Rattus norvegicus: one gene and its partners. The protein of the gene in region 1 interacts with the protein of each later gene in a pairwise test. Links are inferred from orthologs where the notes say so. Each region holds a gene or a part of one and is shown in the gene's direction. Other genes may lie near its edges.

The links.
Region 2: the proteins of Khdrbs3 (region 1) and Bahd1 interact in binary tests that used the Homo sapiens proteins (3 or more experiments, as listed by UniProt). The two-hybrid records come from large-scale screens. The link is inferred for Rattus norvegicus from reciprocal best matches to the Homo sapiens genes KHDRBS3 and BAHD1.
Region 3: the proteins of Khdrbs3 (region 1) and Inpp5d interact in binary tests that used the Homo sapiens proteins (3 or more experiments, as listed by UniProt). The two-hybrid records come from large-scale screens. The link is inferred for Rattus norvegicus from reciprocal best matches to the Homo sapiens genes KHDRBS3 and INPP5D.

Annotation. Positions count from the first base shown.
Region 1 is NC_086025.1:102,806,811-102,810,377, forward strand, and holds part of Khdrbs3 (KH domain-containing, RNA-binding, signal transduction-associated protein 3), read left to right. Parts: intron 1-820; coding exon 821-967; intron 968-3,567. UniProt on the Homo sapiens protein: RNA-binding protein that plays a role in the regulation of alternative splicing and influences mRNA splice site selection and exon inclusion. Binds preferentially to the 5'-[AU]UAAA-3' motif in vitro.
Region 2 is NC_086021.1:126,345,028-126,349,229, forward strand, and holds the start of Bahd1 (bromo adjacent homology domain-containing 1 protein), read left to right. Parts: upstream 1-1,376; 5' UTR 1,377-1,693; exon of another isoform or gene 1,694-1,775; intron 1,776-1,781; exon of another isoform or gene 1,782-1,890; intron 1,891-1,937; exon of another isoform or gene 1,938-1,980; intron 1,981-4,202.
Region 3 is NC_086027.1:95,734,221-95,738,377, forward strand, and holds the start of Inpp5d (phosphatidylinositol 3,4,5-trisphosphate 5-phosphatase 1), read left to right. Parts: upstream 1-1,312; 5' UTR 1,313-1,502; coding exon 1,503-1,645; intron 1,646-4,157. UniProt on the Homo sapiens protein: Phosphatidylinositol (PtdIns) phosphatase that specifically hydrolyzes the 5-phosphate of phosphatidylinositol-3,4,5-trisphosphate (PtdIns(3,4,5)P3) to produce PtdIns(3,4)P2, thereby negatively regulating the PI3K (phosphoinositide 3-kinase) pathways.

The DNA of each region.
Region 1 (3,567 bases):
AGACACTTTTCTAAAGAGTCTTCTGCCTTTAGCAGCCCCAGGAGATGACACCACACTAGGTCTGTCCCATGTGAAAATCCTTCTTGATAAGGTAAACTGCTTGATTGTCAAGCAGTCAGGGTGGGATTTGGTATGTGAGTGTAAAATCCCTGAGTCTGTTTCCCTCCCCGAACAGCACATTGCCTTTGTTAGGAAGCCATGGACAGTTGTTAGAACTCACTCTGAATTGCACAGCAACTAGTCATAAGACAGCCTTCATAACGTAGCTGAGGCTTGGGCCAGAAATGAGAAGTATAAACCAGCCCTTCACACACCATCGGACAAGACGGACATACAGGGTCTGCTCTCTGGCAGTCGCCTGCTAATAAGAGAAAACCAAAAAGAATGAAGCAAACTTGAAAGATTGTTGAATGTTTTGGATTGTGGTGAGTGCTTGGTGTCAGCATGCCTAAAATGGCAGGCATCTGCTGTAGAGAAATGAGCCGGGCACATAGCCAAGTCAAGATCAGAGGTTTGTGCATAGCTGGGGCGGTAATGGGGCAGGCTAGAGCTAACAGGAATCTGCAGGTAGCCAAGGGCAGATGATTCCTTATAGGCAGAGTCAGAGCAGAAGAGACCTTATCCCAGCAGGATAGGATGCCTGTCCAGGGTTCCTGAGAACCCGGGACAACAGGATCAAATCTATAGAATAAAGCCATCCCAGAGTGCTATTTGTTTTAGAGTCTTCCCTCACAAGCACACATCAAATAAGTTTTGTGTAATTTTTGCTTGTTTTTTCCTGCTCTAAATGACACATTTTAAATGTGATTATCTTCTTCAGGAGGAGGAGCTGAGGAAAAGTGGAGAAGCGAAGTACTTTCACCTCAATGACGACCTGCACGTGCTCATTGAAGTGTTCGCGCCCCCAGCGGAAGCTTATGCCCGGATGGGGCATGCCTTGGAAGAGATTAAGAAGTTCCTGATCCCTGTTAGTACCACTCGCTGCTCAGTGACTTGTGTGTTAAGGCTGAGTCTTTAGCCCATTCCTTGATGATCAAGAGCTTCCTGTCTGGCCTACATCGTAGACCTCACAATATTCTCTATGAGAATTCCTCGGCATAATTCCCTGCTTCCATTTAAAACAATGGGATTTTAGACAGATTATATACTGCCACCAGGTTATAAGGCTGAAAAATTGGAAGATCAGAATCACTAATTCAGATTTGGGAGCTCCAATATAAATTCTTACGTGATTCTGAAAATGTCACATAAATTCCGTGCTCTTCCTTAGTCATTAATGTCCTCTATATGCCTGGTCTGTGCTTGGTGTGGGGCATGGACACCTAAATAAGAACATTTTCTGTCCCCTGGAGTAGTTTAGCAGGAAATCAAAACCTTAGTGGGTAGTTAAGTATAGTTTGCAGATTGGATATGCCTGGGACGTCAAGTATTGCCATGAAAGTAATGATTTTAAAGAAATATGTTCCTGCCTTCCTTCTGAAAGATCATTTAAGTATTTGTATGTTAGTGATAAAAAGAGACTTTTTTTTCCAAAAGGAAAAAAAAGTAATAATAAATAATAATAAACTATATATGTTGATTCTATAGACACTTACTATAGAAAAGCTGGCACATCTGCTAGGCAACTGTCCACAGTGAGACTGTCCTTAGACGTCCTCAACTATGCTGGGAGAGTAACATGTACACAATAGATTATGATCATATCTGCTATTAAGAAACCAAATATTATACTTATATTGAAGTTTATTTAAGTATGTTTTTTCACTTAAAAGGTCGTATCATGAGCTATATCCTTAGCCATGTCTAAGAGTAATGCTCACTGTGTGGCAGACATTTGTAAACCATTGATGACAGCCCCTGCCCTCTAGAGTTTGTAGTTTAACGGGCAGGCCAGTAGGAATCATATATTCACATAGGTGACTGAAACTGGGATTATGGCACATGGGGCAGATTCCTTCTTCCATACATAGCTACAGTGGAACTTTCCATCCCATGGCCTTTACAGTCCTCCGTGAGGGGGTAGGGCCTATTTTTCTAACCCATGATCTGGACTGGCTAAAGATATGTCTAAAGCAACGTTACTGGTGTTTCCTGCTGTCTCCTTATGTTTAATAGTATTCTTTCCTTTAAGAATCATTTTGCTTTTGTGATGGTATATGCAGCAATGTTTTTAAACTCTACTTGAGGGGCAGAAGATCTCAGTTACTTCAAGGCCAATCTGGCCTACATACCAAGTTCCAGGCTGGCCAGGGCTACATCCTGTAACGCTGTCTCAGAACAAAGCAAAAGAACCTCATAAGATTCTTTCCATTTAAGTCACTTGGTGATGCTTTTGCACATGGCATGAGCAAAAATATACATTTGAATTTTTCTGTTGTCCTGTTGAATTCCCTAATGGAAGTCTATCTGGGACTCTCAGTTCTGCCCCAGTGATTTACAGTAAGCCTCTCCCAATTGAGTTACATACTTTTCCGTCAAACTTTCAGTGAACTTTGAAGTCTGGGTATATAAATTGTCCAACTTTCTGTTCCTTTCCTCCCTTTCCTAGTTAAAAATTCTTAGTAAGTTGGTTCAGGCACTGTCCTGTTGTAAGTCACATTCTCTCCCCAGTCTCAGTGTGGTAGGCACCCTGGTCTGTTTTCCTGTCTCAGAGTTGTTTTGATTCCTTTGCATTTCCATGTTCACTTTAGTATCAGCTTCCGACTTCTACAATGTTCAACAAGGATTTTGCCAGATGTTTTTTGAATCTGTAGATGAGCTTGGAGTTAACGTTTAACCGGTGTCTTTTATTCTGTGAATATCAAGTACTTCTCATTCTCAAAATCAATAGCTCGACTATTTTGTGGTGGTGAATGCCTTTAATCCCAACCACTTGGGAGGCAGAAGCAAGAGGACCTCTGAGTTCAAGGCCAGCCCGGTCTATGTAGTGAGTTCTAGGAGAGCCAAGGCTATACAGAAAAACCCTGTCTCAAACAAATAAACAAACAAAAAAACAAGACAACAAAAAAAAAGTTTTTTCCATAGCCTGGCACTTACTTTGTAAAATATATTTCCAAATATTAACAAAAGCACTTATGTTTATTTTATGTGTATGAGTGTTTTGCCTGCGTGTGTATCTGTGTACCACAAATGTGGAGTGCCTATAGGAATCAGAAGAGGGTGTTGGATCCTCTGGAACTGCAGTTTGTGAACTTCTTTGTGAGTCTTGGGAATCAAACCCTGGTCCTTTGCAAGAATCAAAAATACTCTTAAAACTGCTGAGTCATTTCCAAATATTTGATATTTTCTGATACTGTTACCAGTGGACCATTTATTTAGAGGTACAATTGATTTTCTTCATATTGATTTTGCTCTGTCTTTTTGGGATATTTTTTACTGTTTTTACATCACAATAAAAAGAGATATTAGGAAGATTAGATAAAACCTAGTTTATTAGGATTCTTTGACATCAGTGTCATGCTGTTACTAAACACCCCTGGCTTCTGTATCAGGGTGCCTGTGATACTTTCCCTGGTGTCCTGTCTTCTTTGCCCTGCTCATCCAATCCTGTGTGTTTTCCTACTAGGA
Region 2 (4,202 bases), on another chromosome or scaffold:
GCCCCTCCCCGGCTGCTCCCAGGCTCGGGTGACTTGACACTACCCTTTCTGCTCCTGCTCCTTTACCTCCCAAAGCGCCCCTCCCCCGCCTGAATTGGGAATGAGGCTTTGTTCAGGGGTGGACTCGGTATTTCTCAAGAACCTACTGTGTGCACATTACGACTCCTTGAAGTGAAGTCCTGGGCTGGCTCTGACGCTACAAGGTGTCCAGGACACGGCCCCTTCCCGCACCTCCCAGGGACTTCCCACCCCTTCGTATGACCTCAGCCTGCTTTGCCCACCCACCCAGCTGACCCCGAGAGCGTGCTCAGGCTTGGAAAAGCACGTCTGTGGGTGTGAGAGACGGAGCCACAGCATAAGGTGACTATGGGGAAGCTAGGTAAGTGTCTGCACTGGTTCTACCCAGGCTTGGGGACGCGAAGGAGTGTGTCCAGCCGCGCCTGTTGGGCTGCCCGCCCCTTTCCCTCTCCCCCGGAGAGCTCTGATGTTCCCCGCGGTGGTGGTAGAGGGTGTGTGGGTGTCAAGGACTCACAGACCAGGCTGTGCTGTCAGCTGGAAATGGATGAGGGTTCCACACTTGGCTTCTGAAAGAGGGCGAATTGGGAGCTGGGGTGGGGGGCGGTAGGTGAAGGGCAGAAAGAGGAAAAAGAGATGCGGGTGAGGGGTTACGGAGCCAGGACCGACCTTGCTAGGAAGGAAAGGAGACGTGGCAAGCAGGGAAGTCGGAAAGATGAGGCAAGGGCGGGAGGGGCTTCTTAGCAGTCGGGGCCCTTTCGCGCGAGTCTGGGGCCCTTTCAGAGGAAAGGGGGTGTTGTTCTTGCTTGAATTTTTCGGTTGGTCTTCCCGAAGCTTTGCCATGGGGGCAGCAGCCTGAGGAGGGTGGGGTGCCCCCTCGGCCCTCAGTTTACTGTAGCGGGTGCTGGAGAGGTTAGGAGGGAAGAGAGATGTAGAAGGGTAATGGTCAGGGCGGGGGCGCGCTAAGATTTTTCAGGGTGGGGGTCTGCAGTGAGGTGCTGGGGCTTCAGGGTCAGGTCACCATGGGATACTGGCTCAGGCTCCAAAGACCAGGAGAAAATACTAGAAGCCGGCAAAGAAAATCATCCCCCGCCACCACCCTTGGCACCGTACCCCTCCCCCCAGGCCCCACCACTCCCCGCACCGCCTCCCCCGGCCGCCTCGTGCTGCCCCCTGCGTCGGGACGACCGACCCACGATTCTGATTGGTTGGAGACCGGGAGGGGGAGCCGAGGGCCGGATTGGCTGGCGGGGCCAGCGCAGGGCGGGGCGGCTGATTGGCGGAGCTTGCCGAGGGGCGCGCCGCTGATTGGCTGGGGACGAGGAAGCAGGAAGGAGGGCGGCGGAGGCTCCGCTCTCGGGGAGTTTGTGGGGGAACCGCGAGCGGCGTAGCGGATCCCGGAGCCCGGCCCCCGCTGCTCGCCCGTCCGGCCGCCTGCCCCGCCCGTCCGGCCCTAGCCGTCTGCCCGCCCCGGCCAGGCGCGCCCGCCCCCCCCCGACGGCCCCGCCCGACCGCGGCCCCCGCTCCGCCCGCCCGGCCCTGGCCCCCAGGAGGAGGCGCTGACGCAGCAGCGTGGAGCCCGGGAATTGAGCGCCCCCGGGGGGTTCCAGCCGCCGGATTCCAGCCCGGTCAGGGCCTGCGGGCGCCCAAAGCCGCGCCGTCCGCGCCGCTCGTCCCGGTGAGCTAGGAGCTGGGATCCAGGAGGGGGAAGGGGAGGACGAACGAGCGAGAGCGAGCGAGCGAGCGAGCGAACGAGCTAGGTAGGCGGACTAGCAAAAGGGAGAGGACCGGCCGCCCGTCAGCGCGCCCCGCCGAGCGCGCCGCGCCGCCGCCCCCGCCAGCCCCGGGAAGGGACGGACGGACGACAAGAAGCAGGTGCGGCTGCCTGCCCGCCCGCGCGCGCCGCCTCCCTCCCCCGGGTCCGGCGCTGCGGTCCCGCCATCGGGGAGCACTGCGCGCCTCGAGGTGACAGCCCCCGGGGGGCGCCCGCCTCGCAGACCGGGGGCGGGGTGGGTGGCGGCCGCAGGGTGGCAGCTTGGCCAGGGGGCGGCGGCGCGGGCGTCCCGGGCTACGGAGGGCGGGAGGACGCGGGGTGCTTCCTCGCCGCGGCGGAGCCGGCTCGCCTCCGAGTGCGCGGGCGGCAAGGCCCCCGCCAAGCCCCCTCCCCCATCGTGGTCCCCGAGGCTAGGGGCCGCTGCTGGGGGCGTCGCCGCGGGAGCGCCCTCTCGGGGTGGGGGGCGCCCTCCAGGGTTGGGAGCTGACCGGCAATTGCCGGAGGGGGGGTGGGGATGGGGGCCGCGTCAGGGCGAGGGGTAGTGTGGACCGGATCGGGTCGGGCTGAAGGAAGGGAGGCGCCGAAGACGGAAGGGGACCGGTTCGAACAGCGAGTGTGGGCCGCGGGAGGCCCTGTGGGGACCGTGCGGGGCGGCGGCCGAGTCCGAGGTAGGGCGGGGGGAATCGAAGTTGTCAGACCGCCTCTAAGTGACAGCGGGACCCGGTGCTCCAGGCCCGGCCTGGTTGTGCCCTGCCAGCCCCGCCGCCTCTCCTCTGGGGCCGGGGGCCGGGTCAGGTCGGGCCCAAGGGGCCCGCTCGGCGGTGAAGAGCCGGACAAAGGCGGCGCCCAAGCGGGCGCAGGTAGTGGTATCAGGGAGGGGAGCGAGTCCGGGGCACCCACCCCAAGGGGCGGGCACGGGGCCGGACTCTGCCCTGGGGACTGCGGGGGCCGGGGCGTCCACCGGGAGGAGCTGCGGCACTGGCTCTGGGCTGTAGCCGCAGATATCCTCGCGGCTCCGGGAAGAGTGGGGTCGACTTAGCCAAGGCGGAGGGGCAGGGTTGGGGGGTGTGCGCACCGAGTGCCCTGGCCGGTGGCGAATGGGCTGGTGGACTCAGAGGCGAGCAGAGCCTGCTACCAGTGAGAGGCTTTCAGCAAGTCTGCCTATCGATAGAGGTTTAACTCCACCTGGGATGTCTCCTAGTGGCCCATTGTCGGCAATCTTAAGAGCACAGACGGCTACTTGGATTGGGACTAAGGGACCCCACCCCCAACACACACACCCACTGTGCTTGGCGATGCCTTCACTATTGCTGTAGCAGTTTTCCTTAGGCAAGAAGGTACCCACATAGGGACAAGATAAGCTGAGTCCATAAATTGAGGCAGAAATTTGATGATGACATAAAATAAGGTTTCCAGCTCTCTTTTGTACCACCTGACACGTTTCTCCCCAGCTTCTACACCTCCATAGTCTTCTACCAAAAAGGAAAAAGCCTCAGGGGGACCACATTTCTCGGGGACACCACTGTCCTAGGACACTTTGGAATCTCTGGCTTAAGCTGTGAGAGTACTGCTAACCCCAGCGGTGAGCAGCTCTAGGCTGTATGCTGTTTATCCGTTTGTGAGAATCCACTCAGCTCCCGTGCCCCTCCTCATGTGATTGGGTTGGGAACAGGAAGAGAGGAGACTCAGGCTGATAACAGCTGAGAACATGGCCTTTTGCTGAGAAAAATCTGGGTTGGAGTGGCACACCAGTGGGACTGGTCAAGAGCAGCACTCGGCTGTGTTTGGCTCTAAGCCCACCTTTAGGAAGCTGCTGTCTGCCAAAGGAGCAGGAACAGCAGGGGGTGGAGTTCATTCAGAGCACCCCATCTCTCCCCAGGAGAGTCTGGACCCCAGTTTGGGTGGAGTCGAGGCTTGTGAGGAAAGGGGGGTATTACTTCACACAAGAGACTGAAGTTTGTTTGAGAGAGTTTAATTGTATGTCTAAATCCAGAGAAGGCTGGAGAATCTCTTTTGCTGGGGTTGTACTGTACGAGATTTCTTTTGGTGGCAGTCAGAAGGGTGACCTGGTTTGGCTGCTGGAAGGTGGGAATTGCCAAAATAACATTTCCCTCTGTGACGGGGGCTTAACCTGGCAAGAGATACTTGTCAGTCAGATGAATGTTTAGGACTGGCTCTGGGGAGTTGAGCCATTAAAGAGATGTGTTTTCACTCTGCATTTCTTCGGTCCCTCTGCTCTTTGCTTTCTCCTATGTCTCATCACTCCAGAACTGAGGCTAGCCTGGGACTTGCAGGGAATCTCCTCTCTCTGCCTCCTGGTGTGCACTACCATTGCTGGCGTTGGTTTCTTCTTTTCAGTGTCTTTCCCTTCCTTCTGTTGCCATGTTCCCCGGGTCATTTTCCTCTTGCTTCC
Region 3 (4,157 bases), on another chromosome or scaffold:
AAGAAGGGTTCAACGATGCATGCAGTCATGTGTTGGATAGAGGTTTCCTAAGAGGAGTGCATGGGGTACTGTGAACATGAGAGGTCTCCATAACAGGCCCATTTTAGAGTTAACTTCCTCGGAGCCCAGATGTGGACGTGAGCTCTTGTTGCAACCATGTCCCCTCCCTCTGGCTCAGGACCTGACTGAGGTACTGTACCCACTCTCAGATTTCCCATCGGCTGTGCCCTGCAAATCCCAGGCTCCCACTTGGATGACATCAGCATAGCTCCCAGGTCCTCCACAGACCAGAGCTCCTTTCAGAATCATACGGCTGCAGTCTAAAGAAAAGAAAACTGAGGCTGAGAGTGAAAAGAAGCTCGACCAGGCTCTCTCCAGTACGTGTGTGTGTGTGTGTGTGTGTGTGTGTGTGTGTGTGTGTGTGTGTGTGTGTGTGTGTCTGGCTTAGGTCTGTTATCACATCTAACGTGACAAGGTTCAGATGAAGGAGTGATCAGTTCTCACTTCTGCCTTACATTCCCTTGGTGGGCTTGGTTTGAGAAATGAGGTCACCCAGCTTGGGGTCAAAGGGAAAGTGGCTACCTTAGAGCCTGCAGAACTCAGACAGTACTAAATGGTGACCTTTAAGGGGTGAGCAAATATGGCCATGTCTAACCCCAGAGGGGATAGCATGACTGGTCATTTGGGCTTCTGCAGTGCAGAACTCACTAACATAAGTCATTAAAGAGCCCAGCTTGTACCACAGGGACATGTAAGCCCCTCCATGACCTTGTCCCCCCAAGTGCCCAGCAGAAGTCCAGAGGGGACAGACCAGCCTGTTTTAGCTGGGGAATAGTGTTGCTCACAGTAGCTTGGTCTTCTGACAGCAATTAACTTCATTAAGACAAGCCCCTACAGACGTATTCACAGGCCAACCCCATGCAGACATTCCCTCATGGAGACTCTTCCTGGGCAATCCTAGGTTGTGCCAAGTTGACAGTTGAAGCTCGTCATCTCGAGTATGCTGGGTATTGCTGAGGAAAACTGTAACCGCCCTTGTGGACATTAGCAAAGGTTTCTGAACGCCATTCCTTTGGCCTATTCATAAATGCTAGGCCAGACTTGAGAAGAGTCAGCCATGAAACCTGACACTAAAAGAGCCTTTGCTTCCCTCATGTGGAACGTCTGTTGATAATGGACGCTTCTGGAGGTTGAGTCCCATTCAGGGGAAATGGAGAGCCAATGAGTGAGAGGGTGGAGCAGGCAGCCAGTGTTGGGCTGGGTGGGAAGGTAGATGATTGCCCCCCTTCCCCAACTTGGTTTCTATAATGAGGAAGTTCTCTGCAGCTCAGTTTCCTCTCCCTCGCTGAGCGCCTGAAACAGGAAGTCAGTCAGTTAAGCTGGTAGTAGCAGCAGAGGCAGCTTCTGAGAGGCCACAGGCGGCAGGTCTCAGCCTAGGGCCCTTAACTGCTTTGCTGGAGTGTCCGTCCTGGGAGTGGCTGCTGACCCAGCCCAGGAGACCCATGCCTGCCATGGTCCCTGGGTGGAACCATGGCAACATCACCCGATCCAAGGCAGAGGAGCTACTTTCCAGAGCTGGCAAGGACGGGAGCTTCCTTGTGCGTGCCAGCGAGTCCATCCCCCGGGCCTACGCGCTCTGCGTGCTGTGAGTACCCTCATTTCCTCCCAACTGTCAGATCCAGGGACCCTCGAGGGGTGGATCCAAAAGGGAACCCCTATAATGGGGGTTTGAGTTAGTTTTATGTCACAGGATGGTGGGACCTGACTGGTACTCTGTTATCCTGTCGGGAGGGTGGAGGTAGGGGTGGCATCTGAGGCCCACTTTGGACCTTGGCGTTGGAGTTCAGGGACCCTGTGTCATGACAGGCTTGTGTGGTGCTAGGACTCTCTGAATGACTCCGGGCCTCCACCACACTATAGCCCTCCATGACCTGTGGTGCCAGGGGCCTCCCTGAGCTCCAGTAGCAGGAGCAGTGATCCTCACTTTGAGCCAGGAAAAAACTCGGGCCTCTCTGGTGGAGGGCGCATTGGAAAGCATCTTGGTCAGCTCAAACGTCGGTTGGGGGACTCAGTGAAAGGCAACACTGACAAAAGGGATTCCCTTCCTCCACCCTGCTCTGGTCTTGGAGCTAATTCTATTTGGGGGAGCTGAATCTGGGGTGCATTTAATCAGGAAAGGACTCCTCATGCAGGCGTTTTATTCTAGGCTGCAAGGACACAGGAAGCCACAGAGCTGCTCTGTGAGTAGGTCTCTGTCCCTCCCCTTGCACTCAGCTATGTCCCTATCTGAGTCTCTCCCTCCATGGGTTCCCCCCACAGCCCAGCGTGAAGATGTTGCTGAATGTGCTGGTTATCCTAACAACAGAGGAAACAGCCACTCGCTGAAGGTTCCTTTTTAACACTCCATTCGTCTAGAGTCTGAGGAAGGTTGTCGCCCCTCTAGCCCTGTGGTCTGACCCTGTCCCGGCTTCAGGCTGGAGCAGGGCAGGAACACAGTCAGGAAGGGTGTGTCTACTTGAACAGCACAGGTAGCATCTGATAGATTGTCCCTGGACTGAGAAAGATCTTTCAGAGCAGCTAGGGCCCCCGTATCTTCATGCAGGAGGGAAGTGGGTGACTGACCACAGACTGCTCTGCGCTCTGACTCATGTTGGGACCTGCTGTGCTAGGCATTTGCTGGCTGGTTTCATCTTCAAGAGAGCCAGGAGTGTGGGTTCTATGAACACCTAGACCAGCAGATAAGGACCATGAGGCTCAGACAGGTTATGCAGAGGATAAGGTCGTTTGCGCCCAGAGACCACCAGCTTGTGCTGCCTACCTCCTACCACCATCAAGCTGGGCATGCCAGTGGACTTGGGTGGAAACAGACGAGCTAGGGTGTTTACAGAGTTGGGGGTGGGGGGCAGAAGCCCTAGAAGCCAGTACAGGTTCACGGCTGGCTGAGCATCTTGGGCTGGTGGAGTTAGCAGCCAGCTTCCTGCACACCCACCAGCGTGTTTCAGGACAAGCACTGCAGGTGGCCTGGACCACCCCAAAGCCCTCTCCCTTGGGGAATCTACCAGTGAGGGGCCCTAAAAGGAAAGAGGGCAGGAAGGTACTTTTCAGTGTGTCACAAGCTCAGCCTGATTCCACTAACCCAGTGACATTTTTCTGCCCCAGTGGGATTTGGGCCAAGGGCAATTTTGTTGGGAGTTGGCTATGGGCTGAGAGACTGTTGTGTGCACTGGTTACAAACACACGACACACGCATGGGTTCTCTTATGCTAAGCCAGCAGCCTCTGGAAGGCTGGAGTCGGAGCAGAAGGAGCCTGAGCCAAGGCCAAGGGGTCTGGGAGGACCTTCAGGCAGACAGAACTGGACCTTGCCTTTCCTCTTCACCTCTCTCCCCTGCCTCAGCTGACTTAAGTCCCTGCAAAGCAAAGATGATACAGAGATTTTTCAAATTAAAGGAGTAACTACCGCAACCTCGGTGTATGGTATAAAGCTGCCCCCCCCCCAAAAAAAATCAGGAAAAGAATACTTTTTAATTTGAAAAATGGTTAGAGGCCAGCCCTTTAATGCAAAGAGACTTACCTTCCTGAAAAAACAAACTTCACATCCTTCACATTCCCCTGTTCCCTGTGGATGAGGGAACCTAGCCCACCTCATTCCTGCCTCCTCACCATCTGCCCCGGCCAGAGTCCACACTCCTACCAGAGAAGATCAAGTCAGCAGTTTCAGGACAGCAACAAGGTAGAGGCCAGAGAAGGGGCTGCAAAGGAGAGATGGGGGATGGGGTGGGTGGGATACAGGACAGATGAGTTTTCTTCAGTTTCAGGAGTGATATAGATTTGGCACGTGTGCTGTCTTGCTGGACACCAACCAGTCTGTGTAGACTCCGGGTCACACAGCTGTGGGTCAGAAACTTAGTGACCCTGCTGCTGGGGCTTCACTTGTCCCTTCTTGTGACTGAAGGAACGGCATCAGAGGCACCGTGCCTCTGTTGGGTTTGGTTGGCACTCTGGGAAGAACGAAGCATTGTGAAGAGGACCTTCCTGGTCTGAGATTTGACTAGGCATAACAGGGAGATGGAGGTAAATGCTTAAAGACAAGGTTGCAATTCAGTACCACCCACGTGACAGAGGAGTGCACATTCACCCCACACCCTGACCTTTGTT